Struthio camelus: one gene and its partner. The protein of the gene in region 1 purifies or fractionates together with the protein of each later gene. This does not show direct contact. Links are inferred from orthologs where the notes say so. Each region holds a gene or a part of one and is shown on either strand. Other genes may lie near its edges. The genes, in order: CDC42BPB and FAM167A.

The links.
Region 2: the proteins of CDC42BPB (region 1) and FAM167A purify together in Homo sapiens (co-immunoprecipitation; 3 studies listed by BioGRID and IntAct, counting the BioPlex papers as one, with this or other methods). This does not show direct contact. The link is inferred for Struthio camelus from reciprocal best matches to the Homo sapiens genes CDC42BPB and FAM167A.

Annotation. Positions count from the first base shown.
Region 1 is NC_090946.1:71,916,578-71,932,062, reverse strand, and holds the start of CDC42BPB (serine/threonine-protein kinase MRCK beta), read left to right. Parts: upstream 1-7,453; 5' UTR 7,454-7,681; coding exon 7,682-7,859; intron 7,860-15,485. UniProt on the Homo sapiens protein: Serine/threonine-protein kinase which is an important downstream effector of CDC42 and plays a role in the regulation of cytoskeleton reorganization and cell migration. Regulates actin cytoskeletal reorganization via phosphorylation of PPP1R12C and MYL9/MLC2.
Region 2 is NC_090944.1:10,999,132-11,014,077, forward strand, and holds the start of FAM167A (protein FAM167A), read right to left. Parts: upstream 5,510-14,946; 5' UTR 4,912-5,509; intron 1-4,911.

The DNA of each region.
Region 1 (15,485 bases):
TATATTTCACAAGGGAGAAGGAGCTCTCTGAACTCATGCCTGCTCGGGCAATCCCTCCTTGCTGTTCCTCCCATGGCCCTTGCTTGCTGGCGTACTTCTTCCCAGAGGTTATTGCCTATCGGTACTGTGAGGGAGGGCAGTTGTCATAATCAGTATCAGGTCTTTCTTGCTGAAAACAGGGCTTTGATAAAATATGTGTGATGCAATGAAAGGTGTCTTTGACTTTGTCACACACACCAGTAAACACAGTCTTTCCCCTCACCATGTTAATAGGACTTGCACCCACACTCAAAACAGACAGACTTTTGCATTTTGTAGTCTTTTTTGCAAAATCCAAGTCACAGTGACGTAGCTCATCGCAAATTTAATTTTCAGAACTTCAAGTTGTTCTAAAGTGCAGGGATCAGTTTTTGCGGTGTTCTTTGCAGGGCGGCTAAAAAGAAAACAAGATAGATAAGTGGGAACTGCAGATGGCATTTTATTGTCAGGAATGGTTGAGGTCTGATGACTACAAAGCCAGCTTGAGGCCCATGCAGGACTAGCAGCTGCCTTTTCCTTTTTCTTCACTGAAACTGAAGAGCAAAGCTTGCTGCTGCTCTTTCCAAGGGGTGAACACAGTCCCAAGAGCATCACCAGCCACCATTCAACCTCTGTCTCCGATCAGCGGGCTCACGCCAAGGCCTTGGAGGGCCTCCCTGGTCTTTCATCTCCACTTCCCCTTGATTTCTGCAGGGAGCATGATCTCCACACACCCCTGAAAAGTCCCACTAGCACCTACTGCCCACTCCTACAGCGTCTGCTACCAGAGGACTGCTACCATTGCTAGCCCTGAAGAGGAGGGAGTCCATGTGCAGAACAATAGGGAAGCCAGCCCCCAGGCAGGGAACATGGGGCAGAGGGGGACTGAATGTTTCCCACGGGCTGGAGGGCTGGCGGCTGCTGTGAGGACGGGAGTCAGGCAGGGGCAGCATTCACACTCCCCTTCAGTGCTGAGAAGTGTGGGTCTCCTCTGAATCGCTGTCAATATTGTTATGGATCTTGGTGATCGTTGGCTTAATGTGTGAGACAGAGGGTTTCTGCACAGCTTTGCTGAGACTGGATAAGCCGGAAGACAAAGATAGTAGCATTTGCGAAAATCCAGACTGAGTGCCTCTGGATTTGTAATGCTGCGGCTAAGATCAGCCTCAATCTTGGGTGAAATCTTTGTTCCGTGCAAATGAGTAGGAGTAAAATGTCTTTTTTACACATTGTCAGAAAAATCACCTTGTTTCCAAAGAGGCTGCATCAAACAAAAGATGTTCCTGAATAGTGAGAATGATCAGCAGCAGCCTTTCAGTATATTTGATGCTGAAGTTGGTACAGTTATTTTTGCCAGTGTCCCAGGATACTGTGAACAAATGAAAGCCATTTTGGTCACACTGCTGCTTTTCTGAACAGTGCCTGGCAATTCATAACAGAGATAAGTACCATTAACAGCCATAGACAGTTTGCTAGGTCACCATTACTGAACAAATAAAAGTGGTTTTTGCACAGTAATTCCTGCTGCTTTTTGGCCAGTGTACAACTGCATTTTCCGGAATGCTATTTATGCAGAAATAGATTGGGATATTTTCTGATTTCAACTTCTCATTACCAGAAACTGATTATCAATGGATTCTCCATTGTGGAGAGGGAACCAGGGAAAAAAATACAATAGCACTTGATTTTTATTTTGATTATACATCTTTGAAAATCAAAGAACACTTTGTCAGAGAAGAATGAAGTATGCATTAAAGTAACGTTACTTTAAATGCAAAAATATTTCATTCCAAGCAGGCTAGTTCTTTTCCTCATAGGTAGATTTAGTTGTGCTTATCTCCATGGGAACACTCCTATTAAAGTCAGTGACAGATTTTTAAAGGTTCAGGAGAAAAGACTGGAGAAGTTTTATTTTCATCTCCAGTCATTTCTCCCAAGACATAAAAATAGTAGTAAAATGCAGTATTAATATAAAATGCAATATGAATAACACTGCTACTCTCAGCAACCCAAGAGAACTAATTCTAAATATTAGCTAAGAAAAAAAAAACACATTTTCTATCTATTTTTACATATATCAGCTAAAACTCTTCTTATTCTCTGCAGCAAACGGTACTACCTTCAGGTTGGCTGAACCAGAGCACGAGAGAATCTAGCAAAAAAAAAAAGCACACACAGAAAACAAAATAGATAATCTTAGTACAGCATCAACTCAGGCGCAAAAAATCCCCTCTAGCAACACACTGCTTTTCACACTTTGTACAAAGATTGATCTAACTGAGTCTGGCAGATGTGAACTTGCAATAACATAATACTATTAAATGAGAAAATGGCAGCTATAGACAGCAGGACATGCTACAGCTACTGCAAGATGTCATAATTGTCGACAAGTATTTGGTCTCTGTACCACTGCTTCCACCTCCTCTGAAGATCCCTGAAGTAGCATGTGTCTAAGTTCTTTTCGTTTTGTTTTGCCAGTCTTTTAGCATTATCATGTGCCTAAACAGACTGCATCACTGAGCCAGTGCCTTCCTGGGGATACTGTGGACTTGAAATCAGATCTGAAATAAATTGAGCTGTTGTGTTGCCTAAATATGGCAATGACATTCTGTTCCAGATGTCCACAGCAATGACCTCATCCGAAACCTCAGTTCCCTGACACTTCAGTCATTTTCAGACAAATTCAGGAAAAAAGAACAAGTGGCCCCATACCGATTTTGATAGAAGCAGCTGCCCACTTCAGTTAATGCTACTCTCAACGTGTGAATGGAATGGGAAGCAAGCTAATTTGATGTGATCCATATTGGGCTCCATGTATTAGACTGCCTGCAATCAGGGAACATACCGATCAATAAGACTGAAGGTTTCCTGAAACAGCAGCAAGGAGGCAAGTTTCTTTCTTTCAGGTGGACTTTAAAGAGGCATAAATTATTGAGGAAAAGAACAGTGTTCATAAGACAAATTATTGGGGGGAAAAAACGTGCTTGGGAACCTGACGCATCTAGGCTGGAAGAAGTGAGGGATTAGCATGTTTCTTTGCCTCTGCTGGCAAAGATGCTATGAAACAAACCAGTCAGAAGTGTCTTAAAAGTCTCTACTAATAAATCTACTGATTTTTTTGCTTCTTTGTTTTTTCCGTTTAAGAAAGCATGTACCAAGTGAAAACTCTTTTCTTATTATAGTCTGCCTCACTTGCAGTTCAAAATGTTAGGTTATACTATCGCTAAATTCTAGATAGTTACAGGAATAGAAGCCCTGCCAACAAATGCACTTAATAGCAGAATGCACTTAACAGAAGGTAGCCTGCCAAATGGCTTTGCTTGTCTTTTTTTTTATTATTCTTGTTATGAGAAAGCATTTTAGTGAAAATTGGAAATGAACAGACTCTCAGCCCTTCCCAGCACTTTTCCATGAGCAGCTTCCCTTTCTTTACTCCTACTTCACTCATCATCATGTGCAAGGTCAAGAACATTTGTGAAATCTTCTTGCTAAAACAGTGCAATAGCAGTGAACTGAAGCAGACAGAGCTTTCTGGAAGCTGAAACAGAGCTCTAGCATCCGTTGTCCTACCAAAAGAGCAGAGTTTTTGTCTTCCCTGGGAAATTTTCTATGCAATTCCCATCATTGCTATCATCACATGGTCTCCGATAGTGACTTAGATGCTGCTGTTGTTTTCAATATTGAGTAGGTTAGCTCAATGCTCAAGCTCACATGATGCAATGTTATCAGAGACATCCACCACTGACAAACTATTTTTGGCTTCCAATATGGGCAACAGTTGTAGATTTATACTGCTTTTGGCAAGAGGGAATTTTTTAGAATATTGGCAAAAACAGACAGCGCTGAAAAGGTGAGAGTTTCCTAAAAAATAATTCAAGGAAAGAAATATGATAATAGCAAGAAATAAACCAGTCCTGTTGTTCTGAGGCATGTTTAGCTCTTTCTTATATTCTACCTTTGGAACTCATTACTAGGAGCTTTCTCTGATTTCAACTTACCTATATTTTGGGTTGTAAATCCTTAAAAAAGGTTTTTCTTCCTTTTCTAGAATTACCTGTCTGCCTATGACAAAATAGATATTTGCAAAATCTTCTTCACTCTTTTTTTAGCATGAAGGTTTCCACTGTCAATGGGCTGTTTGCAATTTCTGTCCATACTCTTTCCTATTTCTTTATTCTTCTCAATCCAATAGTGATCTGTGGGTGGATTTTCCTGAAGTCATAAAGCAGTGACACAGCTATTTCCTGTTGCCATCGAAATTCTATAACAGAATTTCTTCCTTTCCTAGTTACTAAGTTACCTGGAGTACAGCCAAAAACAAAAAAAGAGAGACCTGAGATGATTGGATCTGAAAGAACTTTTCCTAGCCATATGGACTTCATGTCTTCAGTTCTGCAAGTCTATAATGATTCCAGAAAATATAAGTGAGAACCCTTTTGCTTACATTTGGTCTCATAAAAAGAGAGTTTTGTAAAATCAGGAAAAGGGGCTGTATTTTTCCACTGAAATATGTCGCAGGAAAAAGGAACTGGTAAGATGGATCATTTAACCCATTTTAGCCAAATCACATTTATTTTTAGTATAGGGAGTAGGCACACGTAACAGAAGCAGAATACCTTAAGTTACATTTTCAAGCTTACATATGTTTTTTAATATGTACTCGGGATGTCACTTTTCAGTGAGGTAAGGTTTTTTGCAACTGTAAACCTTGATCTCAAACCCCAGCATTACTAGCAGCGTACATGACTTTTAAGTCTTTGCAATATTTTTGAAATCTTCCAATTAATTCTGGAACACCTACAGTATCACTAATAAATAATCTTGCATGTGCTGGTCTGATATGCCAAACCTTCCATAGTTGTTAAAGCAGGTCTCAGTATCATCTGTCATCCATCCGTCATTTTCCCAACACAGGACCTGATTCTTCACTGCGACTGCTGTAAGTCAGGAATGGTTCTTGAAATACCTGAATTCTCCTAGTGTAGAATAGACTAGCCAGATTGGAAGCATTAGAGCGAATGGTAGGCAGAAAACTGTTACTTCTTCTTCCAGCTGCAGTTTCCTTTATCATCTCTTCCTTGCTGAAGGAGGTTGTGATAATCACCATCTGCAGGAACAGATAAGAAGGGAAAAGACAGATACTGTATCAGGATCTTTAAAACTCTGCTCTCCTTAGCCATTAATCTGGTCAACTCTTTCTGAAATTGAGTCTCCAAAGCAGTAATAAGTGGAAAACATCAAGCTCTCCTTTTATATAAAGAAGCAGTACCAGAAAAACAATTGCAATTGTTAAAATGCTAAGGGTCCTGCAGATGAATGTATCAGTATCAAGCAGTTTGAGGTAAGACGAACCAACTATAAGCAGGGAGGATCATAGAGGGAGAATAAAGACAACCCCTGTATGTGCTGTGAAATATTTTTCGAAGCAGTTATTTGCGGAAGAAGGAAGTACAAAGGGATAGAAGTCATTTAGGAAGAAAAAAGCTATTTCAGTCCATTGTGGCTTTTCTTTGTTTAAAAATTATAGGTTCTTGGTATAAAAGTATGATTCATAGGACCTTCTATCAAATTGCGGTTTTTAGAATTAACAGGTCCCAACATGCCTATACCTTCTTGATTCAGGTAGTGAGTCCAAATGCCAAATGCACAGCACACAGTCTTATTATGACCTGAATAGCTCTCAGACAGAACAGATATTTCTATGTCAGGTGAAATATCAGACGGAGAGATATCAGAACTGCCTGAGGGGCAAGGGCTCCTAGAAAGAAGTTTTTCTGTAATGCTGTGTTGGACCTCTCCGTCATGCTCTGTGTCATATCGGAAGCAGTACTTTCTGCTGCACATTACTCCATCTCATTCTGTCTAGTTGTGCTCCTGACTACTTGAAAAGGGCAGCTCCCAGTAGGCAGCACTGGTTGGGTTTGGCCTAGCCACTGGCCCTAAAGGTCACAGTTGAGAACATTCAGGTATTTCAACAATTACTGACATGTTACCTCTGACCGTGAAGGACCCATGGTCCCTGATAACTACAACTACCAGCATGCAAACCTCTGTCCAACTCTAGTTCTTGGACATTCCTGACAGTGACAGAACTGGCTCTGAGCGGCCGCTCTTTGTGGCGTGATGATTTTCAGCGTACAGTGCTCTATCTAATCACAAGGGGAGACGAGCAAGGAAAAGGCTTCCTTCCCTGTTTAGTTTTGCATCAGGACCTGACTGGCTGCATTCCTAGAGATGTAAACTCCCATCAAGCTATTGAGTATCTTGCCTTGAGGTGCCACGATCTCCAGAGAAAACAGTTCTCAGAATAAATTGTAATGCCATAAAAAGGCACTGCAGAAAGTTTTGAGTGTCTTACACCAAGCTCCCTTCACCTTCAAGTGAGCGTAGACAGCAGCTGTTAACACAAAGAGCTCCATGTGTCTCGATTAGCTGCTACTCCTAATGCAAGTCAGGTTGGTTTTGAAGGGTGCGTAAAGCCACGGCTTTCAGAGGCACTGTTTCCTACTGTGGTGCCTTGCCTATCCTGCCAGCCTCTCTGCAACTACTGCCAGGGGCCCCCCAAGACAAGTTAAGCAGTAGAGCAAGGAGTTAGCGCAGGGGAAGGGCCTACTCCAGCTGCCGCCTGGAGGCCCCCCCCACCCCAAGTCTGAGGCTGGCTCTGCTGGCGGCTCCACGTGCCCCGAGCGCGTGCTGCCCATCGAGGCCCGAGGGGCAGATCCCAGCGAAGGAGCAAAGGCCCGCAGGGAGCCCTGGGTGGCGCCCATGGGAGCCCACCCGGAGCTGAGGGGCTGCGGCCTGGCACAGTGACCGGCCTGCGGAGGCCCAGAACCATGGCGGGCCACAGCCCACGGGGGAAGCGGAGGGAGGGTGGGGGAGGCCACGGCTCGTGAGAGCTGGGCTGGAGTGAGCAGCTGGAGGCAGCACTCTGGGGTTTGTTGGGGGGGGTCCACTTCGCCTCCAGCCCTCTTGACACCGGCCATAAAGTGGGGGTGTGGGGGGATGCAAGCACGAATCTGCCGAGGCGAACGCGCAGGTTGCGGCCTGCCCCCGCCAAGCGGCGAAAGTGCCGAGGGGGAACCCACAGCCGTTCCTCCCTGCCGGCCCCGCCTCAGGGAGGCGAATCTGCCGAGCCGGTTCCGAGGAGGCGGCAGCCGCGCCGCGCCCTGCTGTGCCACACGCCCGCTCTCTCCCCGCCCCCAACTACGGCGCGGGGCTGGCCCCAATCTTCCTCGCGCTGGCTGCGCGCAGCCCTGCCCACGTCGGTGCGCGCGGACGCTGCGTGGTGGGCGGGGCGCGGGCTCCGGCCGGGGCCGCTCGGTGCCGCCTGCGAGACGCGCGGAGCCGCCGCCGCCGCTGCGGGGCCCTCGCCGGGAGGAGGGGCGGGAGCGGAGCCGCCGCCGGGTGCTCGCTGAGAGGGCCGGAGCGCGAGGCCGGGTCCGGTCCATGGACCGGCCGGGCCCGAGGCGGAGCCCGTGGAAGGAGCCGCTCGGCCGCGGCGCGGCCGTGAGGGGCGAGAGGCGGCGCGGGGCGCGGCGCGGCTGAGCGCGGCCTCCCGCCTGTGTCCGCCGGCTTCGCCGCCGCCCGACCCGGCCCGGCCCGACCCGGCCCGGCCTCCCCCCCCCCCCCCCCCCCCCGCCGCCGCCGCCGCCGCCGCGGCACCATGTCGGCCAAGGTGCGGCTGAAGCGGCTGGAGCAGCTGGTGCTGGACGGGCCGCAGCGGCACGACAGCGTGCTCAGCGTGGAGACCCTGCTCGACCTCCTGGTCGGCGTCTACGCCGAGTGCAGCCGCGACTCGCCGCTGCGCCGCGACCGATACGTCTCCGACTTCCTCGAGTGGGGTGAGCCGCGGCGGGGGCCGGCGCCGGGCCGGTGGGAGGGGAGGGCCGCCCCCCCCCCCGGTGGGGAGGGTTTGTGCTCTCCGGGCGCGGGGCAGCGAGAGCAGGGCAGGGCAGGGCGGCCCGGCCCCGGGCGTGCGCTGCCCGTGGCCGCCGGCGGCCGGGCGGGGTGCGGAGCCGCCGCCCCGGGACGCGGAGCCGCCGCCAGCCGGGCCTGACCCCTGCCGTCCCCTCCCAGCGCCGCTTCGGTCCCAAGCGGGCCGCTTGGCAGCCGGGAACAGGAACAGCACCGAAGTGTCCTTGGCCTGAAAGCCTGCTCGGCTTAACCCGGAACGTCAGGCTAATCCAGCGCCTCCTCAGTGTTTCCTACCTGGGGGAGGGGAGGAGGGGGAAAGCCGAAGGCTCAGACTATGAATACAGCTCTTGTGCCAGATTTGTTGCTGTTAGTTGAGAGGGTGTGCGTGTCTTCGAGGGAAAACAGTTACTGTGCACCATGTATTCTTTTTAGTCTGGGCAGACCCCCGAAGGACAGAGTAGTTCTAGGCAGCCTTTGTAACAGCTTTGTTTAATGGTTTCATAGCATTAAGCAACCTGATAATGAGAAACTTCCAATAGTCAGAGCATGCTGACAAAAAAAAAAACAACCAACCCAACAAAAAAACGTATCCTTGTGATTGTACTTGGGATAAAAGTTTTCTATCCTGTCGCGTTAGTTAAAACTATTGAGTACGGGTATGTGGATAGCAGAGATCTATCTCTGGTGTATGCCTAAATGAATCTGTGTTAAAGTGGTCATGGTGGCTGACAGGTTTATTCAGCTCAGTAGGTTATGAATAATACTTTATGGTGAAGGTGACTTATCTTCTCCATGGAATAAGAATTGGAGGGAAGGGTGGAGAGAGAGAGAGATCATTGCTCACAAGTATATTGTCCCATTTATCAGCTGTTCCATGCACGTACAGTTAATTAGGCTTTTAAAGATCTCTCTCAAAAAACAAAACAAAAGACTTCCTAAGGGAGGGGGAGTGGCCATTTTACTTCAGTAAATGCAAATGTGTGTCTTTAGCGGTACAGACTACTGCCCTAAAACATAGGGACAGCTGGTTCTCCTTAATTTCTGTGGGGACCACCACTCTTTGTCATACGCTAACAAACTAAGAGGATTCACTTCCTGGACTCTTCTATTGACGTCAGTAATGCGATTGCCAACTGAATAATTAACCACTTTATCACATCTGCCCTGAAAGGCTGCAGGCAGGGGAACATTGATTATTTGTTTTGTTGTGGGAGCTTTGTACATCTTCTGCAAAGTGCAATCTGGTTTTATACTCTTATTCTCAATTTGCTGGCTTGAATGAGCAAGCAGCTACAAACTCTTAAATGCTACATATCAGACCAGGATCGTACTTCTAAGTCCTGAAGCTGAGGGAAGGATTTGAGGCAGGCCCAAGGATGATATATTTTTTCTATAGCACTGTTGGTGGCTATGTTTTACAGAGTGATCCCCATGTTGTCATCTTCTGTGTGATGGAGAGGCAGATTATCCAATTGTTTATAAAATTACTTCTTTTAATTCTGTTTAGTGTGTTCACTGAATATGAAAAGGTTACTGACTTGATGAAGAGTATAGCTAGCAGTAAAAATAGTGTGTAGTTCTTACTGCAACGTGGGATTACCCTAATATAACAAAGTGCCTATTCAATAAATAATTTAAATGTATGTGAGCTACCATCTGGTGCTGTAGAGTAGGGATAAAAGTTTATAATCCAGGCCCTTCATGGTAAGGGGATGGGCCTAAGTCTGGACTGCTGTATATTTATGTTCCATCAACAAGGAATCCCCTTAAAAGAAACTGAAGTTGATAGTGTGCATTCCTCCCTTTCCTGCAAGCTGTTAAAAACAAATAAATGCCAACAACAAGACACCTTTTATCTGTGTCCTAATGCCCTCACAGTATGTTTCCACTGACAAGGAACTAGTTTCTGCCTCCAGCTAGTAAGGGAAATACCATGCCAAACATGCTAATCGTCCTCATGTCATGATGTGCAGTCTTAATTACAGTCTGTTTCTCTGTTAGAAGATATTCTGGATTGATGTGCACAAGTTTCTTGTGCTGCTAAGTGTCTGTGGCGGCATGAGATTGCAGTTAAATATTTGGGCTATACTTTGAAGATCAGCATGTTTCTTTATCAACTGGAGACAAAAAGAATTTCCTTTTGACAAAACGGAGACTTATCACTGACAATGGAAATAAACTACGTATAACTCAGCTTAATTTAACCTTAACATAATTAGCATTTCTTTATCATTTTGGATTTACCATTGGGTGTGAGGTATCTCGTACACAAACTTCCCTTAAAATGGTTAAGCGTGGCTAATGGAATTGTTGGCATTCCTAATTGACAAGGGAAAGTAGAGTTCAGGCATGGTGGATGAGGCAGAGGTTTTTCCCGGTTGTGGGAATGCAGATGCAGAAGAGATGTTGAGTTAACGAGTATAGCTGTTGGATGTGGATATTTGCTCGCTGAGACCAGCACACTAGCACTTATATTGTGGAGCAGGAGGGGAATCAAGGAGTGGGAAATTAAGTCCCACGTTACCCTGTGACACTTAGGACAGCTTCTCCGAGTCACAGAACCTCTGTAGAAGCTTTGTGCTTCACCGGCAGAGATTGGTGAGCCAGGAACAGTGGATCTCATAGCTTCTGTCCTGTAAACATAGCTACTGCTTCCTGACAGTCCTGCCACAGGCTTATTTCTTCCAAACTATTCCCTAACCATAGAAGAGTGTAGGGTGTGGCCATTTTCCTCGAGGCAGCCTGTGACTGCCATCTCCTTAGAAATGTAAGGATCTGCCATTTTAACCTTGGCAATTGTAGCTCTGTCATGGTGAATGGAGCTCTCAAATGTACTACGTTTTCCCTGTACTGGAAGTAAAATAAACTTTTTTTTATCCAAGTATCTTTGGAGAAGGGCTAGCTGAGCTGCAAGTTAGGAATTCAAAAGTCCTTTTCTTCCAGTTTGCTTTTATTTATAATCCTTACTGAATAAGGTCTCATCCAACAGATTATCATTATGTTGCTTATATAACAGATATTGAAATAATGCTCAGTATTCTTAGTGGGAATTGAATCCAACTCTCTTGCATAGCAGACTTGCATGTAACCCTAGTCTTCCATGTTCAGAAAGAATTTGCCAACTCTGTGCTTAGTGTTCTCTAGACTGTTGCTACATATGCTGCTCCTAGAGTGAGAAATAGAATAAAGAATCCTCACAGTCCTGTTCTATTTATACTTTCTCATTGCTCTCTGAAAGTTATCACTGAAACTGGGCTGCTACAGCCCTTGTGCCTTTGAAGCGAGACTCCTTGGCCATCTCTGCTGGCCCTTCTGGCCCACTAGGGCTGTCAGGAGAGCAATCTAGCTGCAATCTTGGGAGCTGTTGGGACTGCCTAGCCCTTCTGGTGTACCAGAGAGCCTGTAAAACAATCTGCATGGTCCCAGAGTGTGTGGCAGTACTTCCCTCATCTAAAGCTGACCTAGGTCACTAGTATATACTACATAAAGCTGTCCTGCTGCTCTGGAAGAGACAAGCACAGGGAAGGGTATGTGGCCTTTGGAGTTATCAGATGGATTTTGCTAGCATGCCAGTGCTGGGGTACTGCAGAGTGGTATGATCTTCGCACTGCAGAGGCACCTCCTGAAAGACTCTGCCTGTGAAAGGAGTATGCTCACCCTTGTTTGGCGTGATGAGAAGAGAACTACGCGAATGGTTGACCAGCACGGCTACAGCTCAGGCACCTGTGCATCACCCCTCCTTTGGCTTTCAGATACAGTGCATTCCTCTGAATGGAGCCCCCTGTTCAGTCATGCCAGATGATCTGAATCTCTTATTACCTGGTGCCAGATGTGCTGGAGCCTTAGAATGGCTGCTCACAGGGCACCTTGCTGGCTAACACCGTATGCATGCACATATGACATCACCTTGTTTTACAGGAGCTATTTTTGCTGGCTGTAGCTGGTGCTTACTGCCCTTTTCTTCTAGTGAGCAGAGACTGGCACAACCGGCTGCTCCATTTTTGAACAGCTACTGGCACTGTTCGAGGCTAATATGCAAGAATGTTCAGAGAAGAGTCTGACCAGAATGGGCTTTTATTTGTGTTCAAAATGCTCTTGGTGCTGCATAGACTCTGTTGCTCCAGCCTTTGTTTCCCCTGACCCTGTTTTGTACCGCTGGCACGCTGCAGAGGGCAAGATGGCACGTGTCCCCACATAGTTGCTTCACTGTTGTCTCACTCTTGGGACTATATGATGGCTGGTCTTCTCTGTGAGAACACCTCAAAGCCAATGTCAGACTAGTTTGGGCTGATCTGAAATGTAGTGATTTTTCCTTGAGGTAGGTGCACGGGATACTTCTGTGGACAATTCCTCCAGGTAAGCTAGCGTTCAAACAGATGACTCATAACTTTTCTTCTATATTCTCAGTTTGTCTAAGTCTGCTACTCAGCTGGGCTGGTGTTCTGGTTTTTTGTGAGAGGAACTTACTGTTGGGGGCCTGAAGCTCTGGGGAAGAGGAAGAAGATTGCCAGTGAATGGCATGGATAGGCCAGCTGGGCACCTGCTGCCAGACCCTTGGAGACAGCCTGGCATAATAGACAGTGGATGCTGTAGTGGTAGCAGCAACATATTCCCGCTCGGGGCTAGAGGAGAGAAAAATGTGCAGAGCACTCGCAACAACCTCTCTGGCCTAGCCTCACACTACCGCTTTTGGGGATATACCTATTACATTTGAGACTGGGTGACAGATGGAAAAATCTTGCACAGGAAGTTCACCAGAAAAGTTGCTGCTGTGATGCCTCAATGCAGTGAGTTACAAATTAGTAACTTTGGGTCACTGTAAGGGCTGATACTTAAGGTTTTAGAGCTTGCTGTCGGGGGAGCAAAAACAGGACCCTAACTGAGCTTTGCAAGTAGTTGGCCTACCCCCAAACCACCTTTCTCCTCCCTCTGTTTCTCCTTAAAGAGGCACCTTAACGTTTCAAATGAAAATGGGTCTTGCAGGGTGGTCTTTCCTTGAGAAGAATTTAGAGCCTACATTTTCTCTGTAATCAGTTACATTCAGAAGGTCAATGCTGAGTGCAGATGTGACTGAGAACAGGTCTTTCCAGCTCTGCATTAGAGCGTCTTCAAAACTAGCTGCAGAGTAGACCTTGTCCTCTGACTGCCACAGATGCTGATGTACTATAAAAGCCTACAGGTAAAGGTGGAGGCATGGTGTGTGGCTGAGCATGTTACTGGTATAGAAGACAAAAACCATTCCTAACTATTTTTTGCGATGAACTTAGTGGTGTCAGATTTTGAGGGCTGTTTATGAGGGTTTTTTTTTTGTTGGTAGCCTTTTTGGGTTGCATTAGGAAAAAGTGCCACTTGATAATGCCTTATCTCTTAACTTCATGGTTTGTTAATTTTCAAATTCCTCCCCTTTTACAACCTCCTCCCCTGCCCGCAGAAATGTTCTCAGAAAGCGTCCCCATCCTCTGCTAGCTTGTGTCATATATTTTCTTCTCTGTGCAGGGAAAAGCTGTGCAGTCAGCGATAAGCCTGTTGGGCATAAGAAAGAAGTGAACTTAGCTGGGTAATGAAGAGAGCTGATGAACAAGAGGCTGAATGTCAGCCGGAGTTCCCTGTTCTGCCATCCTCTATCTGCTTTGTCAAAGAATTGCAAAAACTGCCTTATTAGCTTTAATAGAGTTGTAGTCAGGGTTAGTGATCTGAAGGCATGAGGTTCAAAGCTTGTTGCTATATGTGTGATGGACCCTTTGTGGTATCTGTTCTAACGTGTTATTTAAAGGATGAGGCCGTATCTTTTAATACGAGTTTTACTGTAATGTTTTATTTTGTGAAATACTGGTATTGCATGCCAAAATGATATTTTGACAGTGTGAAAGGAATGTGGTTTGGAGGATGAGCTATACATTGGCATATGCTGTTAAAATGACAGCCATCTTAGGCACAGCTTGTCATTTGTCCCATAGAAGGAAGTCAGTATCACTTTTCTCCTGTGGGTAGAATTGCTGATAAATAGTGACTGTCTTTACAGAGCGCTTGAGGAACTGGGTGGTGTGTTTAAGGCCATGACCTATATCTTGTATTTTAACTTTGTTTATATATGAAAAGTCGGGAAGGAGTAGAGAAGTCATTGGTAAATTTATCTTCATATAGAAAAATGTGTGCAGCTAGAAGTCTCTTGTTTGTGGTACGAGATCACTTATAAAATAACAGAAACAATGTTTCATAAGCATCCCATAAATCTAACATTTTTCTGACTTGTTTCTCTTAGAAATGCTCATGATTTTAATATTATTTTTCATAGGTGGTACTACTATCAGCTGAATTTTGCTAAGAAAATTCTTCGTTTAAGTCATTAAAACTTCTGTGGTTGGCACCAGTTATGCGTTATCACTGGAGAGAAACTGCCTGGATGTCGGTTTAGTCAGCAGGTTCAGAGCAATGAACTTTTTATCAGCTGAAGTTGAACTAACCTTTTCTTGCAAATAATTCATATGTGGGAGTAAATCCGTTCTTGTACACCTACTGGAAACAAATGGTTTTAACTGTGAGTCAGAACTGAAAATACTTGTTTCATTAGTGTATTTTATAGCAAGCTAATTTTGCTTTATGATTACATACTGATGTATTGGTTTTTAGAAATGTTGATCTATAACTGAGGTTATTTGGGGCTGTTAAAGTACTTGAGATTCTTCAAACTTGTAAAATCTGCATTTTATGTCTTCTGTAATTTGAGGCAGTTCATGCCAGCTGTTTTGAGATGGGTATTAAAAAAAGAAGAATTGTAATACTTGCCTAAATGATCACAAATGTATCAGAGCCCCTAACAGAATGTAGTGCCTAGGGTTAGGAATAATTGTGTGGGTTTATGTTTAGATTTACCTATGAATAGGTAAAAGATGAATAGGATGATGGACCACAAGGAAATCTGTTTGGAAAAGTGGGAAAATGACTTGTTAAAGCTTTTTTACTAGATTTTTGCCTTTGATAATGCTTTAAACAGCTGAGGTTGGTTTTCTGAGGCTTTCACAAGGTACACTTGGGAATTTCAATCTAGTCTTAATACAGTTACTGAGTAGCTTGTATCAAGCTCACTATTGTGTCTGACTGAAGCTCTAGTATTAAAAAAATATTTTTAAGTGCATTTGGTCTGTGGTTCCATGTGATCTATTCTCTTTAACCGTCTTCTCATGCTAAAATATTGCACTCTATTTTTCATCAACATATGCAGATTGTTGAAATGCAACCTCTCATTTGTAACAACCTTTGTTCCCTATAATGAATGTAGCTTTCTTCAATATGAAACTGCACGCTGTTTTCTTAAGCCTTGATTTTGCATAGACCTAAGTAATCATGTCTGTAGATATACTTAGGGAGCATTCAGATTAAGTATGTGCATCCATCATTGCCAGCTGAGGCCTTAGGCATCCTGAAGTGCCTGAGATCTTAATTTCTGTCATTCATGTCATCAGGGTCTTAACACTGAAACCTGTTATTACTTAACCATGGCCTAAAGCTTCAAATGTAACTGATACCTCTGGATCTCCAACTCAGGACCTCAA
Region 2 (14,946 bases), on another chromosome or scaffold:
GGGCAGCAGCAATGCCGAGGCCCTGGGGACCTGAACAAGGTAAGGAGATAGCCAGGCCAGGCCCACACATCGGGTCTCTGGAGCCGGTGGCTTCCATGCAAGGATGCTGCTTTTGAATAGTTCCTTTCCCCACACCAAAATGACCTCCCTGAGGAGGTGAGCGGTTACGCAGTGTGGACTCTGGTGCGTTTAGGGCTACTCGATCCATTTCTGTAGCACCTGAAATATGCTCCTGCAGAAAACTGATCTGGTTCCCAAATGCCCTTCTTGCTTGTCCTTAAGTGACTTTCAGCCTCCCTCCCCACAAAAGGAGACGATGCCAGAAAAACTGGTCACTCCAGGAGCCTGATCCTGAAGCCAGGACTCCTTCCAGAACAGAAGCCCCTGATGAAATCATTGCCCTCAGGATCAGATGCTCTCAGCCTGGTCAGCACAGCACAGGGACGGGACAGACAGGGATGCTCATGGCATCAGCTGTGGGCAGCCAAATCCTGAATCCAACTTGGAGTTTGGTCTTGCCTTCACCTGCCCAGGGAAGCAGGTGCCCAGGGAAGTGCCCTTGCTAAGCACTCATGCTGAGGAGAGTGCCCTCATATTCGTGTTGTCCCCTTCCCATCATCCATCATGTTCCCAAACCTCACTTGGGAAGGACATTTTGGAGGTCTCCACCAACAAACTGCCTAGGCCTGATCCCCCTGTGCCAGCAGAGGGAGGACTGGGAACCTTCTGGCAGGGATGAGGATCCAGGGGGAAGCCAATGAGGGGTATGCGGGAGCAAGGGGGGCTGTGGAAGATCATGGGAGAGTCCTCTGCTCAGCACTGGTGCCTGCTGGCCTGTCTCTGGCCACCTCTGAGCCATCTTCAGCTGCATTTGAGCCTTGGCCCTTCTTCTAGGGGCAAGACAAACACACCTAAGTCAGGCCCCGTAAGCATGAGTAAAGTGAAATGCAGGTTCTGATCTAGCGACTCTGCCTTCAGGCCTCCTTGAGGGCTACTAGGCTAGCTGTGTCCCTTCACAAATAGACAGACCTGACTTCCAGCCTCATACATTAAAAAAGCCCAGGGGGAGACCCGAGTGCTGTCTCTCTGTGTCCGTGCAGTGCAGTTTTGGTGCAAGCCAACTAACACTAACCCAAATAAGCAGGTTGAATGTAGGCACCCTGCTCAGGAGAGTGAGAGAATTTCTTGCTACCGACCCAGTCAGCAACACTATTTAGCCGGGGCCAGACCACGGCAGGGACCGTGCTAACATTTGGGTAGTAGAGCTGACCAAATGCCCATGCCCAAGTCCTGGCAGTGTTGTATTTACTAGTATTAGACATATGTAGAGACAGCTTCCAAACTGACCTTAAGTGGCCTCGCTGTGAGCTGAGTTTCCGTCCCTGTGTTGATCCACAATGTGAGGCCCTGGGGCTGGTTTTATGAGGTGGTTACATCATAGCCCTGAGTGTTGAGACACTGATAAAGCACCTAATTTAATGGGATCCTGAGTGCAGCTGGCTATTGCTGTAAATCTATTGTCATGAATAAAACCCAAGGACCTCCCAGACAACTCAGATGCTAAGGTGAGCAGCGGGGACACACTTCTAGGTTGCACCATTCCCAGATTCACGGGGACGAGGGGGAAGAAGTGGGGCTTTCCATTCATGTATGACCTGTAGTAGGTGAGGCTACCCCCTGCCCAGCACTTCTTTCTGCCCATACTGCCCCTGGAAAAAACACAAAAACCCAACCAACGCAAGGAAGAGAGCAGGGGTGAGCAGTGGGGGGACTGCATCCAGTCTATCTGACTGACGAGAAGCACAGCGGAGGTGCGAAGAGGCATCGGGAGGAAGGTGAGGGGACTGTCCCTGTCCTGCAGACACAGTCTGCAGCTGTGACACCCCTCCTCAACCCTGCTGAAGTGGACAACGGTCCATGGCCACACTGGCATTGCGCCGTGCAGCCCCTGTTCTCCCCAAGAGCCTGGGGAGGCAGAGCAGGCTGCGAATGCAGAGAGGCCCCGAGGACAAAAAAGGCAGAGTTTGCTCAAGCAGCTCTCAGAGCACGTGTCCTGTCCCCTCAAGGGTCAGAGACCACCCTGGGCCAGACCTAGGCACACGCAGGCCCTGTGACTCCAGATGCTGACGGCAGCAGCGATTAGTTTGTGCTCCTTGCCCTAAGTTATTTTTTCCACACTGGTCTCAATCCTCAGTGATAGTGTCAGAACCTGATTCGATAAATATATCTGTCCCTTCCTGCCTAGCTACAGCTGATCCCTGCCGCCTCTGCCACACAAAACCCGAGCAGGCTCCATCAAGGAAACAGACTGAGATTGGTGTCTGCTTCTGATGGACCCTGACAGCTTCACTTTCACACTCGTCCAGCTCTCCTCAGTCAGCAGATTTCCAGCAGTCGGATGGAAATCCAGACTGAAGATGACCCAGGCACTGCCAGATTTTTGGCATTCCTACAAGGCAGTCCTCCAGCGAGTGGGAAACGTTGGCAAACTGGGAGATATCGCAGCAGCTGGGGATTCTGCCCAGCCTTTGTCTACGAAGAGAGGGGCAGCACTGACTCTCAGCCCATCGTCCGAAAAAAGGGATAATTATCTTAAGAGGAAAGCAATTAAACAGCAGCAGAACTGGCCAGTTGACACCTTCTTGGTGAAGAGACCCTATCCATGCTAGCCATCTTCTGGCAAGGCCGGTTGAAGCACAGCAAGAGTCAGGGACTGGGAGCAGGGGTTGCTTTTCCGTACGCTGCCCCAGGGTCCCAGCAGGTCTTGGGAGCTAATCGTGTAGAGGGCAGGCCTAACCTGCCCCCCAAAATGCCCCTGAAGGACCTGTGATTTGTCAGAGCCACTTCCTTCCCCTCTTTTCCCTGCTGCCACCCCAAACGTAGCTGTGTTTTACCAGCGGAAAGAGCAGGCAGAGCAGGCAGTCAGACCTCTGTACCAGTGCCACCAGGGTAATTCAAAGGGCTGTGACTCCTTGGGAATGAGCCAGATTAGGCTGAGAAATGCTCTCTTCCCAGGAGACTGCCACATGGAGTTATTTTTCCCTAAATGCAGCATGAAAGGCAGCAGGCTGAAGGGTATATTTTAGGAGAAAAATACTTTCTGGCTTTGCTAGGCTTCATTCTGCCAGCGCTGAGCCCCCTCAAGCCCATGCAGCATCAGGGGCCAGTGCCCACTTGAGGCCCCCAGGCTTCAAGTTAAAGTGATCAGGGGACGGGGGTCAGCCCCCTGGCGATCCCCTAATCCCCTTTACACGCTCCCTGTCCCATCCAATTACTCGCTTTAGCAGCTGCCCGGGTGCTAATCGTCCAAGCACTGTACTCAGACCTGCCTTCTCCCAGGTGCTTGCAATGCTGATGTGACTTACGCTTTTTTATTACTTATTTTATCCAATACGAGCTACTAGCAAGCAGACCCCCAATCCCTCCCCCTGCAAAAGGCCAAATTACTATGAGGCTGATTTGTTCTTTCTGCAGTGCCTCTCTGCTAGATTTTGCAAACACCTAATGGCTGCGGAGCTGTTACAAGCCCAGAGCACGGGAGAAGCCAGATTCCTCCCTTTTTGTTTTTTTTTTTTTTTGTGTCGTACAGATCCTCCTGAAGAGGTAACATTGCAATGGGCATTTGAAAGTGGAGGAGATCTGAAACGCAAATAAAAGCGACAGGACCAGCATGTCGAAATGACGGCTGGTAGGGAGGAGACCCACAACAGCCAGAATGAGCTCGTTCCCCCTGAAAAGTGGCAAATCCATAAGATACTGGGAATGAGCAGACAAAGCTGTGGTAATGTGGCACCAGCCAGACACAGCTGCCCTCGTTGGAAAAAGACACTGGGTTTTCATTTGTTTCACGCCCCCCCCCCCACCCCCCGCAACAAGGTACCTAACGCAGAAAAGCTCAGAAGGGCAGAACAGTGCCGAATACTACTGGGAGCATCACAGAAAAATAGGGAGAGGTCTCCTTAGCCCTGCGCCAGTGGGAACTGTGGGAGAGGTGTCCCCGTCTGGATTCGAAAGGGTGCGGGCTGAACGGTGTGCTTTTGTGCAAGTGCAATGTCTCGTGCAAGGGGGGGTGCGTTGCACAAGGTGCACTGGCTGGGGTTGCACAAGTGTGTGCACAGGGAGGGGTGTGGGCTGACAGTGTTATTTTAGTAATCAGCCCCAAGCTGTTATAAAGGGCTCTGAAGAAGTTCTGGATGTTTTGGTTTTTTTTTTCCCCCTCAGTGCTAGCATGAGCTGCAAGGGCCAGACCTGAGCGGGTGGAAACCTGCTCTGCTCAAACACACAGTGCCTGTTTCAAAAATTGAAGGCAGCTACGCCCTGCAAGGCCACCATGCTTTATCCCATTATGTCTGCTTTGAACAAGCCAATGAACCCTTCTAGGGCTCCCGCTCATCTTGGAGAGGGGGCAGAGGGAGCAACAGGTGAATGTCCCCAACCAGGGCCAGACTCTGCCTCGTTACACCCCAGCTAGTGCAGAAAAATTCCCCTGAAGGTGGTGAGGTAGCCCTACACCTCTCAGCTGAGAGCACTGCCAGGGAGATCACATCCTGCCCAGATTCCCAGCCCGTCCCCATCAGCGGTATGCCACAGTGTGGGACATCTTGAGGGAAGGCAGGAGATTGTGACTAGGAGGACAATGAAACCCCCAGCCCTAACGCATAGGAAGAGGCATGGCCAAGCCCGGTACTGAACTTCGCAGGGCAGGGGGTCCCCATCGCCTCCATCCAGGTGCTCCCCAGGGACCAGGTCCTTCCTGCTACCAGTTTCCACTAGACTAGAAAAGCTTGGTGTCCCTCCCCTGCCGAGATGGCTCTCAGACAGCTCTCGTCCTGGATTCACCCACGCGTCCCCACTAGGCTGTGCTTCACCCCAGACCCAGCATGGCTGAGCCAATGCGAGAAACAAACTTACCGGGGACCGAGTCACAGGGAATATTCCACGGACATCTTGACTCGCTGCTTCGTCTTCGAGTCTCCAACTTGGTATTTGCAAAGCAGTGTCACCAGTGCCTCCAGGAGACTGTCTCATCCTTGTCTCTGTCTCGCTTCAGAAATCTCTCTGTGTGTGTTTTTTTATTTAAGAGACTTTTTTTTTCCCCCAGCGGTTGCGTCAGGCCTGTTGCCTGGAGACAAGCGAGCTATTCCAGTTTGAGCTTTTCAGTCCAGATTTCCTGTCTCTCTTTCATTCATGCCATCAAGCCCTGAACCTACCTCCCACCAAGCAATAACCCTGAAGAGACCTGAAAGGGAGGAGCCGTGCAGCCTGGGTCCTAAACATCCTCCGACTCAGCTGCCTTGCGGGATCCCGAGGAGGGAGAAAGGGTAGAGATGCCCTCACCACCGTGACTACCCAGGCTGAGGGGGTGCTCTCCACCGACATCGATGGCAGGGACTCAAAGGCTCACTGGAGGTGCCCCCAGAGTGCCGAGAAATCCATGGCTTTTGTAGGAAAGGCTCCTCCCGGAGTGAGCTGAGCTAGCATCCATGCGGCTGTCCCTGCTGCACGCAATGGATAGTTGTGAGCTGTTCTCCGAAAAAAAAGCGCAGGGACCTCTGGCACCGGGGAGAGCTTTTGGCTAATGTTTTACAGACACTACAGCTCGCCAAAAGGTCAGCGTTTGCATGCAGGGCAGGGAGCGATGGGGGTGTTTTTGCAAGGATGGATGAGCATCTCCAGCAAGGTGTTCAAAGCTCTGGGCTGGCAGGTGAGTATCAAGGGGTAGCCAGGGAGAAGCCAGCCTGTCAAAATAGTGTCAAGTGTTTTCACGCATGGAAAGCAGCCTTTGACTGTCTTTTGGAAAGTGCCTGTTGCTCCCACATCTCCCCAGGGTGGCTAGAAACCATTTTGGCTGCTTCTGAGGAGGGACCAATACAGCCACATGTCCCAGCAGGTTGCTGACTATGGGCCCTACTTCTAACCCCCACTCTCAGGGGTTAGAGTGGGTTTCATCCCTTTATCACAGGCTAAAGATTAACCCCTTGAAGCCTGGGGATGGCTCTCAAAATCAGCGCATACATCAGTCCCCAAGTGTGGTTAGTGCACATCTAGCGTACTGAGTCTCAGGGCAACTGGTTGTACTTGTGAACTGAGTGGTGCCAAGGGTTAAATGTTGGCTATCAGTCCTTCCACACCCATTTCCACATTAAGCTTTTGTGAGAGATGATACCCATATACTGCCTCCTTTTTTTAACGCACCCTTTCTCCTGCCTAAATTGTCCCTCCTCTCCTCCATGGGCAGCAGAGAGAGATTTCCAACCTTCTGAGTTCAGGATCTCAACAAGGGCCTTGCAACACCCTGTGGAGGGCCAGGATTTCCAAAGCCACCTGGAACAGGAGAGACCTCCTTTCAAATGGCAGCAAGACTGGTGGTTTCCCAGAGCACCCCAGTGATGTGGAGACTTTGTACAGCACCTAGCTCAGCAGGAAATGGGCGGCCTGAGAGATGCAGGAATGCAAAGTTAGAAGAATGAAGAGTAGTGTTTACAGTCGTTCATATTTCTGATGCAAATGTGTTTTTTTTTTCCGCTTGGACAGCACCCTTTTTGTGGGGGGGGGGGAAAAAAAAAAGAGTCCATCAAAGGACTACTAAGATGATTAAGGGACCGGAGCATCTTTTCTATGAGGAGAGGCTGAAAGAGCTGGGCCTGCTCAGCCTGGAGAAGAGAAGGCTCAGGGGGATCTGATCAATGTGTGTAAGTATCTGAAGGGAGGGTGTCGAGAGGATGGGGCCAGACTCTTCTCCGTGATGCCCAGTGACAGGACAAGAGGTAACAGGCACAAACTGCAACACAGGAAGTTCTGTCTGAACATGAGGAAAAACGTCTTTCCAGTGAGAGTGACCGAGCACTGGCACAGGTTGTCCAGAGAGGTGGTGGAGTCTCTTTCCCTGGAGATATTCAAAACCCGTCTGGATGTGATCCTGGGAAATATGCTCTAGAGGACCTTGCCTGAGCAGGGGGGGTTGGACTAGACGATCTCCAGAGGTCCCTTCCAACCTCAACCATTCTGTGATTCTATGATTCTGTGAAATTTCAGATATTCATATGCAAACTCATTCTGCTGATTAGCTCTCAGAAAGCTGTGTTGCAGGCAGTTGTCTGAAGGCTTTCACCTGCCCTTCCCAGGGCTAGTGGTGGTTAAGATGGAATAAGGAGATGGAAGAGCTGTTCCTTCATATTAAAACCTTCTAATGCAGACCTATAGCTGCATTTAAGCTCTTAATGGTAAGTGCATGGTTCAGCATTTCCTGCGACATCTCATCAAACCACAGACTGGGTCCATGCCAATGAACCAAAGTGTCAGTGAACGGGTATAGGCATGGGAACCTGGTGAAACACAATCCCTGGCCTGGTTTTGACCCTGGCCAAACAGTCCCTGGGCATGGTTCAGGAGTTTGCAAGGCAAGACCACATTCCCAACAGACAGTTTTGGATGCAGCCATCCTGTTTTGATAGCTGAGAGTGTTTTATAGCACGGATGTGGCCAGACAGGGCTAGCTGGCCTCAGGGCCAGAGACCAGGCCTGGCACAGATTAGTTTACTAGCAGAGGTGTTGCTACCAAGGCTGGACATCTATATCATCACAGCAACAGACCACACACTGTCACCCTCTTCCTCTTCTGTAAATGTTTATTTTTAATTTAATTGTGTAATGGGTTTCGAATGAGCTGCCAAAAGACACTAATGAAAGGCTGCAGTCAAGTTTCTCTGAAGTCTCTCCTTCCACCAAAATGCACTTAGACACAAGTCTTGAACCCCAGTTGCCTGCAATAAACACCAGAAATTAGGTGTGATGAGTCCATAGCCACGTCTCTCTGCTGCTCGGTGCCCCCTTCATCCAACAAAAACCCACATGGGCTCAGCACTGAGTGATATTTTAGGGGAGGAAACGCTGTCAGCAAACTGGGCGTTTCTCGGTGCTGCTGCTGGTGCCCCAGCAGTGCAGATGTGAATTTCCCACAATGCCTCCAGTGAGTAAAAATAAACCTAGGTGATGCTAAAGCAGTCCCTACCCGGACGCTTGATTTTTTCTCCTTGACTTGGAAACAGAGAGACCTTTCTGATGTATTCAGACCTGGAAAAGCTGCCAGATCCGGGAACTAAGTTCCTCAGCATCCCTGGGCAGAGCACTTTTTCCAGACTACGCTTCAATCCTTGGGAGCACTTTCATACAAGCCTGGATCCTTGCTAGGCTGTGATTTGCAAATCTCAGGTTGGGAATTCCCTGCTGCAGATCCCAGACTCTCCTGGGAACCTAAATCTCCCATGCCATAGGAGCTTGGAGCAGCACTGGATGCTGTTAAGTCAGATGTGCTGGCAAAACCTACCTGCCTTATCTCTCTCTAGCTAAATCTCATCTGGACACTCTAAACTACCTCCACATCACCACAGAGAAATGGGCAGCTCCGGAGGGCCATTCCTTTTGCATAATTACAGTGGTTCAGTGCAGCTTGGATTTAAAGTATCTGCTCCTTGCCCGGGCTCCTGACTTTGGGGTGATTTTTCCTTGTACACATCCTACTCGTGATGCCTGGAGGAGCTGGCCTTCTCAGCAGGGGAGTGTGGCCATCTCATGGTACTGCCTGCTGGAAGCATCTTGGAGGAGCATCGATGGTCACTTCATCTAGTCACTGAATAAATGCCTTTTCCCTAAGGCAAAGTCCATGGAGATCAGCCTGCCTGGGCACTGCTGTCTCCAACATGGGGAAAAGGCTACTGTGCCTTTCCGGCTGACCATGTCCATCCTAGCTGGGTGCAACCTCCACTCCCTGCACAGGGACATGCATAGGGAAAGTCTGAGATGGCCTGAGGGTCACCTGGCTGCGAGTTAACCTGGAAATGTGACAGAGATACCTACAGAGGGCAGCAGGTCTCTAGTTAATGCTGTCGCTATCGACGGTCACTGCAAGGGCCCAGATGCAAGTATAGATGCATGCAGAGGGTTATGGTCACCTGGCTGTTCGTCTTCCTGGATCACTGAGGGACTCTGAGAGACTTGGAGAGTCCCAGGGCAAAGGAAGTTACGAAGTGGTGTAGTCATAGCTTTGTTTTGTCATCCTCCTGGAGATGCAGGGCAGCATGAAGGCTTCACTGGGGATGTCCAGACACTAAGGGGCTTGTGAGTTGTTACAGCTCCAGTTTAGACAGGAGTAATTTCTGTCACAATAAAGGCACGGCTTCCAAAAGGAAGGTGGTGAGGGTTCTCTGTTCAAGACCGGAAAGGGCTCTAGCCTTGTATTCCCTCCTTCTGAAACCGGTAAGACTTGTTGCTGGTGTTTGCAGGACTAAAACTTTACCATTTGCATTGCTGGGAGATTAGGAGTGGGCCGTGGGAGGCTGGGGGATGTGAGCATAATGCCTTCAAAGGAGCATTTCCATGGCAAGAAGCATTATTTTGACAGAAGGCCCAGTCTAGCTGTGCTGGACAAAGCAGCCGCACGCCCCCAGATATTTGCCGTTTGCACCCCACATGCTGTCTCGCTGCAGTTCACCACCCTTGCGGAAAGGGACGGAGCAATGAGCGTGTGTCCACACCGTGGCTGCCTCTGTTTGCAAGATAGCTTGGTCAAAAGTGCCAGCGATGTGGTTTTGTGCTGAAACGTTGGGCTTTGCTCTGAGACTTTCATGTGTCCTTTCACACCCACTCAGCCGCGAGGTGATATTGCGTGTCTGCAGGAAATTGCCAAGAGAGAAGGCAACAGGAGGTGTGTGGAGGTGGGCGGAGGAGTGCAGCGAGGTCTTCAGTGCTCAGCCTCAGAGTATTGGGTGATGCTTTGGTTCCAGCTTCTCCCGCTGTCTGTCCTACTTCTGAGGAGCAGACCCCCACCAGAGGTTCAGGATGGGTTTGTCCCTTCCTTCTCCCTGGCAAATCTATCACCAAAATCCTCCAGTTTGTCCTTGACACCAAAGTCCCCAGGGTTTGGTTTGACATGGCTTTGATGGTCATGTTAGGCCTGTCCCTTGTCCCTGTCCCACACACCCAAGGGCTGTGTGAGGTTGTGTGCTGCAAGTGCAAGGCCGTGCTTCTCCCTCCTGACACTGGCTGCTACTGTGAACAGGGACACCTCATCCATAGCTCAGTGTTTCACTGAGGTCCTTCTGCAGGTCTTCACAGACAGCCTTTGTCCTCATGGTCCTGTTTGGCCTGGGACCTGGCAGTTTTTGGTGGCACAGCCCTGGCCCATGATCTTGGTGCCACCTTGCTCTTTGCAGAGATTGCAGGTCATCTACCATCACCTCCTTGCTGGTATGTGTTGGGGGCAATAAGGAGGGCAGGGCTTTGTCTCATCAAGTCTCTGGCCTTTTCCAGTATTGCTCTGATGTTTAATCTGGACCAGCTTGCTTTAAGCGGTATCTTTTATTGACTGGGCTGGCATAAGGCTTCTGAGCAACACAGACAAAACTGCCCACTGCACGGGCAAGCCCCCTGCCCTAGGGCCAGTGCGTTTGTCCCTGCTCCATTTCTGGATGATGCTGAGCACCCTCCCCTCACTCTGCCACAATGTGTGCATGCCAGGAAGGAGCATGTGTTCTCATTCCCATGCAAAGTGTTGTCCACCCCAGCATCCAGGTGCAGCCTGGAGCATGGTACAGGTTAATTGACACTTACCGGGACTTGGCGCTGTGCAGCCAAGGTTGGGAGGATTTAGGTTGCTGGGAACTTGGAATAATTTGGCAGAAGGTGGTGGGGACTGTTTCAGAGTAAAGCAGGTCCAAGAAAGTGAGAAGCTGGAGTTTTCTGTGTGTGAGTTCCCAGCGTGTAAAGAGAGCTGGAGCAGGCATGCAGGGGAAAGATGGCGGTTTGTGAAGTGCTCCAGAAACCAGGCAAGGGGCTGTAAATATTTCACCACTATTTGGAACAGTTCTTAAACCTCGACCGTCCTCATTCCCTGTTAGCCCCTATATTTCTTTCCCACTGTTTTCGCAGGTTGGTATATTATGATTTCCACCTTTTAGTCCCTTTTCCTTTGGATTTCCAAATCAATCCCATCATTGTTGGTCTATCCACCAGTCCCTCTTCCCAGGTAACTTGGAAACTTTCTGGTAAATTCTGTCTGACTTTGGCAGAGGAAAAGATATTTCAAAGATACAAAGTCTTGAAAAGTTTCACTGGAAGCAACAGCCCAGCAGAGGAGCGAGGAGACCAAGTCCTTTAGAGAAGCTGTACGGTGAGCACAGCGAGGCTTGTTGAACAGCAGAGTATCCACAAGAGAAACAGCCACAGGAAACTAGACTGCCTGAGTCTCACCGTCAAGGAATGACATGGTGTTTTTTGCATCGGGTGTTGCCTGGAGGGAGTAGTGGTATTTTCTCCGTGTGTTTCTTTCAGGCAAGTCATCGCCAAAGACAAAATCAAAGAACTAGTGCCTTTCTGCTTGTCTTAATTAAGCATAAACTTTATCCAAAATCCGGCAGTGATTCCAGTAGTGAACAGTGTCCAATAGGTGACACTCATCAGCTTCCTGGCCTTCAGATGGGCTGGCAAGTCTGAAACTCTGCTGGTGGGTGTGAAGATGAGAGCGGTGGAGCTTCACAGCCCTGCACAGGCTGGAGGCAAAGCTGTACCCCAAAGACCCTTTGTGGGCACCACAACAACCCAGCATGATGAGATCTGAGCTGATCCCTGCCTACAACTCCAGAGGGGCACTGGATGCTCAGCCCAGGCAAAGCTTTTTGCAATATTGCAAGTAGCAAATTGCACAAGGCACAGGCAAGCCAGATCTTAACATACAAGAGATAAAGAGATACTAGGATGTGCTATCAGCAGCACCTCTCATCCCCCGATGCCCTAAATGACATCAGGTGTCTTCTCATTGCTGAAATGCAGCCAGCTCTGAAGCAGAACCTCAACACTCTCTTTAGATTAGATTTTTAGCAGAAACACAACCTCAAATGGAAAGTGAGTAAGATTACAGCACCGTAACCTAGATGATTACAAAAGGGGAAACTGCTCAGACTAGAACCTGGCTGAAGATAAACTCTCCCAAAGGTTAAACGCATCAAATAAATATCTCTCCTTCTGCTATTGGCCCAGAGTGCTGTTAGTTGTGAATGGGCCAGTCCAGAAAAACCAAGGACCCAAATCTCTCCTCCTATTTTCAGACCCGTTGTACACCTTGTGGCTTCAGGTAGTGACTTTCAACCTGCACCAGCCTGAATGGTAGAGATTTAGGACATCGTTTTTACAAGGACAGTACTTTTGACAGCCTGCTGAACCTCTGTGGGTAACGATTCCTCTAAGGTAGCCACCGTTCTAACACTAGCTCTAAATAAGCAGTGTGGTTATACTACCAGCCCTTAATTGCTGTAAGTGTAACAAACCAGTTCAAAGTGTCATTCAGCTGTTGTCGACAGGAAACCACCAACAACAGTCGACCGACAGCACCAAGAAGAATTAGGGTTTCTCTTTCTACATGCTTTAAGGATTAAAACTTATCAAGAAAGCCTTATGTTCTGAGGAGCGTACCTGGCAAAGGATTTTTTAACTCTGGTGGACAACTGGGATCGAGCGTGCTATGATTTAATCTGAACAAAGGAATCACTAGGTAAGTGCAAATGATTTTCTATGAGCTTTGCTTCATTCCTGCTGTCGCTGGTTGTATTTGTTTCTCGGTGCTTCACTGAGTACATTCTCTTAGAGCATTTAAAGATTTGTCTCACTCTGTCCGTTGCCCATGCATCAAAGGTAATTAAACCCTTAAAGATTTGGAGTGCGACGTTCAAGAGAATTAGGCATGTTGCTGACATGGATTAGGGCAGGCGCATTTTTTTCTTTCTTTCTGGCAGAGTGTCTCAATGCTGAAATCAGGGATCTTTCTGAGGTGGGACTGATTTACTCAGATGCCACCATGGTCTAAGTCAGAATCTGACCCGGGGGTCCCTTCTCTTGGGCACAGATAACCTCTTTCTCTTCAAGAGTGAAAGTACATGAAAGCCCTTTAAATAGAAGAGGTGAATAACTTCTAGCTGAATTCCTTTGGGAGAAAAGATAAGGTAAAAACTGAAATCGGGGCCCCAATTCTGAATTTAAAGGGAGGATACTCTGGATCTCAGCAACGCTTGCTGAGTTGACAGCTGCGTATGGTGCAGAGAAGGGCTGAGGCTTTAACTCCCATGCTGCAGAGAAGCACATTTGGCTTTGGAGGTCTTTGTTTCGTTTTGCCCCACAGATGGGCTGGATAGTTTTGGAGCTGTTTATTTAATCTGAGATGATCATTTTGTTCTCAGCCACAGAGAACTTCTTTCAGTCCACCTGATAAAACCAGCAGCAGGTTAATGCTAATAATTGTGGACAAAGCCTCCAGCAAGCTGGAGTAGGAAGAAAGGACTTATTGTTTCTCCCTCAGGGAATTCCTATCCTCAGATGCGCAAAGTCTACATAAACCTCTGTAACTTTCAGTCTTGGTCGTAGTTTAGTCCTGGCTCAAATTTCCTTCTCATCAAAGAAGTGCTCTAGCTTGGAGCCTGGATAATTCAGGAACTGCCTTGTTCACTGTGTCATCTCTGGGATGGAAGGGTCATTGCAGCATTGCGGGGTGTTTGCATCTCAGATCATCTCAGGTGTTTGCTCCATGCTGTGTGGCCAGGAATATCTGGAAAATCAGTGCCCTTCATGGCACTTTAGTTTTCTCATCTGTGAAATGGGGATGTTTGCTGTCTATCTTGTTGAGCTGCTGTGAGACTGAGTTGATTATAGATCTAAAAAAGGGATGTGAGTAACTACAAAAGCAGGAGAAGGAGCATATGCTATCAGCAGCATGGGTTCCTACTGCATACAGAGCACTCACAGGCAGTACAGACTCATGCGCACTGGAGAAAAGTAAGCAGCTAGAAATTAAGGAGAAAAATGGACAGCTGAAGGGCAGCAAATATGTCCTCATTAACATGCTCTATTAATGCTGATCAGTCGTCTTGTCAGGGTTTCAGTAGCCTTTATAAGAAGTCTTGGGGTCTGTAGAACTTGTGATTTCTTTCCTGTATTTCATATTTTCTCATTATAATGATATCGATCCCAAAAAATCTGTAAAAAATCTTTTCGCCCATTCTTGCTTTGTTCTGCCAAAACAGGGCCTGAATTCATCTGAGGGCTGAGTTTTATGGCGGAGGAGGAAAGAGCCAAGAAATAGTTAGGTGAAATTTTTTGCAAAGAGGCTACTGATTTTTCTTTTTATGCTTTTCTAATGACTTTCCCTGTTCTGCTTAATCAAAAACGGGATGTTCTTGCATACGCTTCTATCTCAGATTAGGTGGTGTGCTCCTCAAACCCTGTTAAATAAGCCCATGATAACTCAGGCCGAGCAAAGGGAAAAACAGAACATCCAGCTTCTGCACAGTTTGGACTGTGTCCATTTAAGACTGGGTTATCAGCTCTTATTTTCTATTCCTACTTTGTGACCCCTTTCTCTTCGTTGACTTCCTAGCCCTTAACTATCCATGGCACCCTTATGAGCACATCAAAGTCCAAAGAGGTCTTGAGATGATTGTGTTTAATAGGGGACAAGTCTTTTGGAAAGCGGGGGGGATTCTTCACCGGTGATACCCCAGTGTTGTCTCGGAAAGCTGTGGAAATAGGTCACTGTGGATTTCATAGGCGTCACAGCAGAGTAGGAACATTTGGGTATACTATTACTTCATCATTATTTGTCTTCCTTCCTTCCTCTCATTCTTTCCATTCTCAATGCTAAAAGGGGAGTTTCCTCACTGCTCTTCCACGGTTCATGAGACTTAGGAGGCAACCAAGCGTTGACTCCATGTGGGTGAGCTCTCCCAAAGTCAATACAGTTTCCTGCAGGCCCACAGGGTTCAATTGTAGGCAAGAATTTTGCAAGGGTCCCTGGGACTAAATCCTACTCAAGCCCTTGGCAACCCCAAAGTTTCCACTCACGGATTCCGTTTAGGTGGTGCAAGTCAGCTTTCTCAGTAGGTCTGCCACACATTGCAAGCAGCA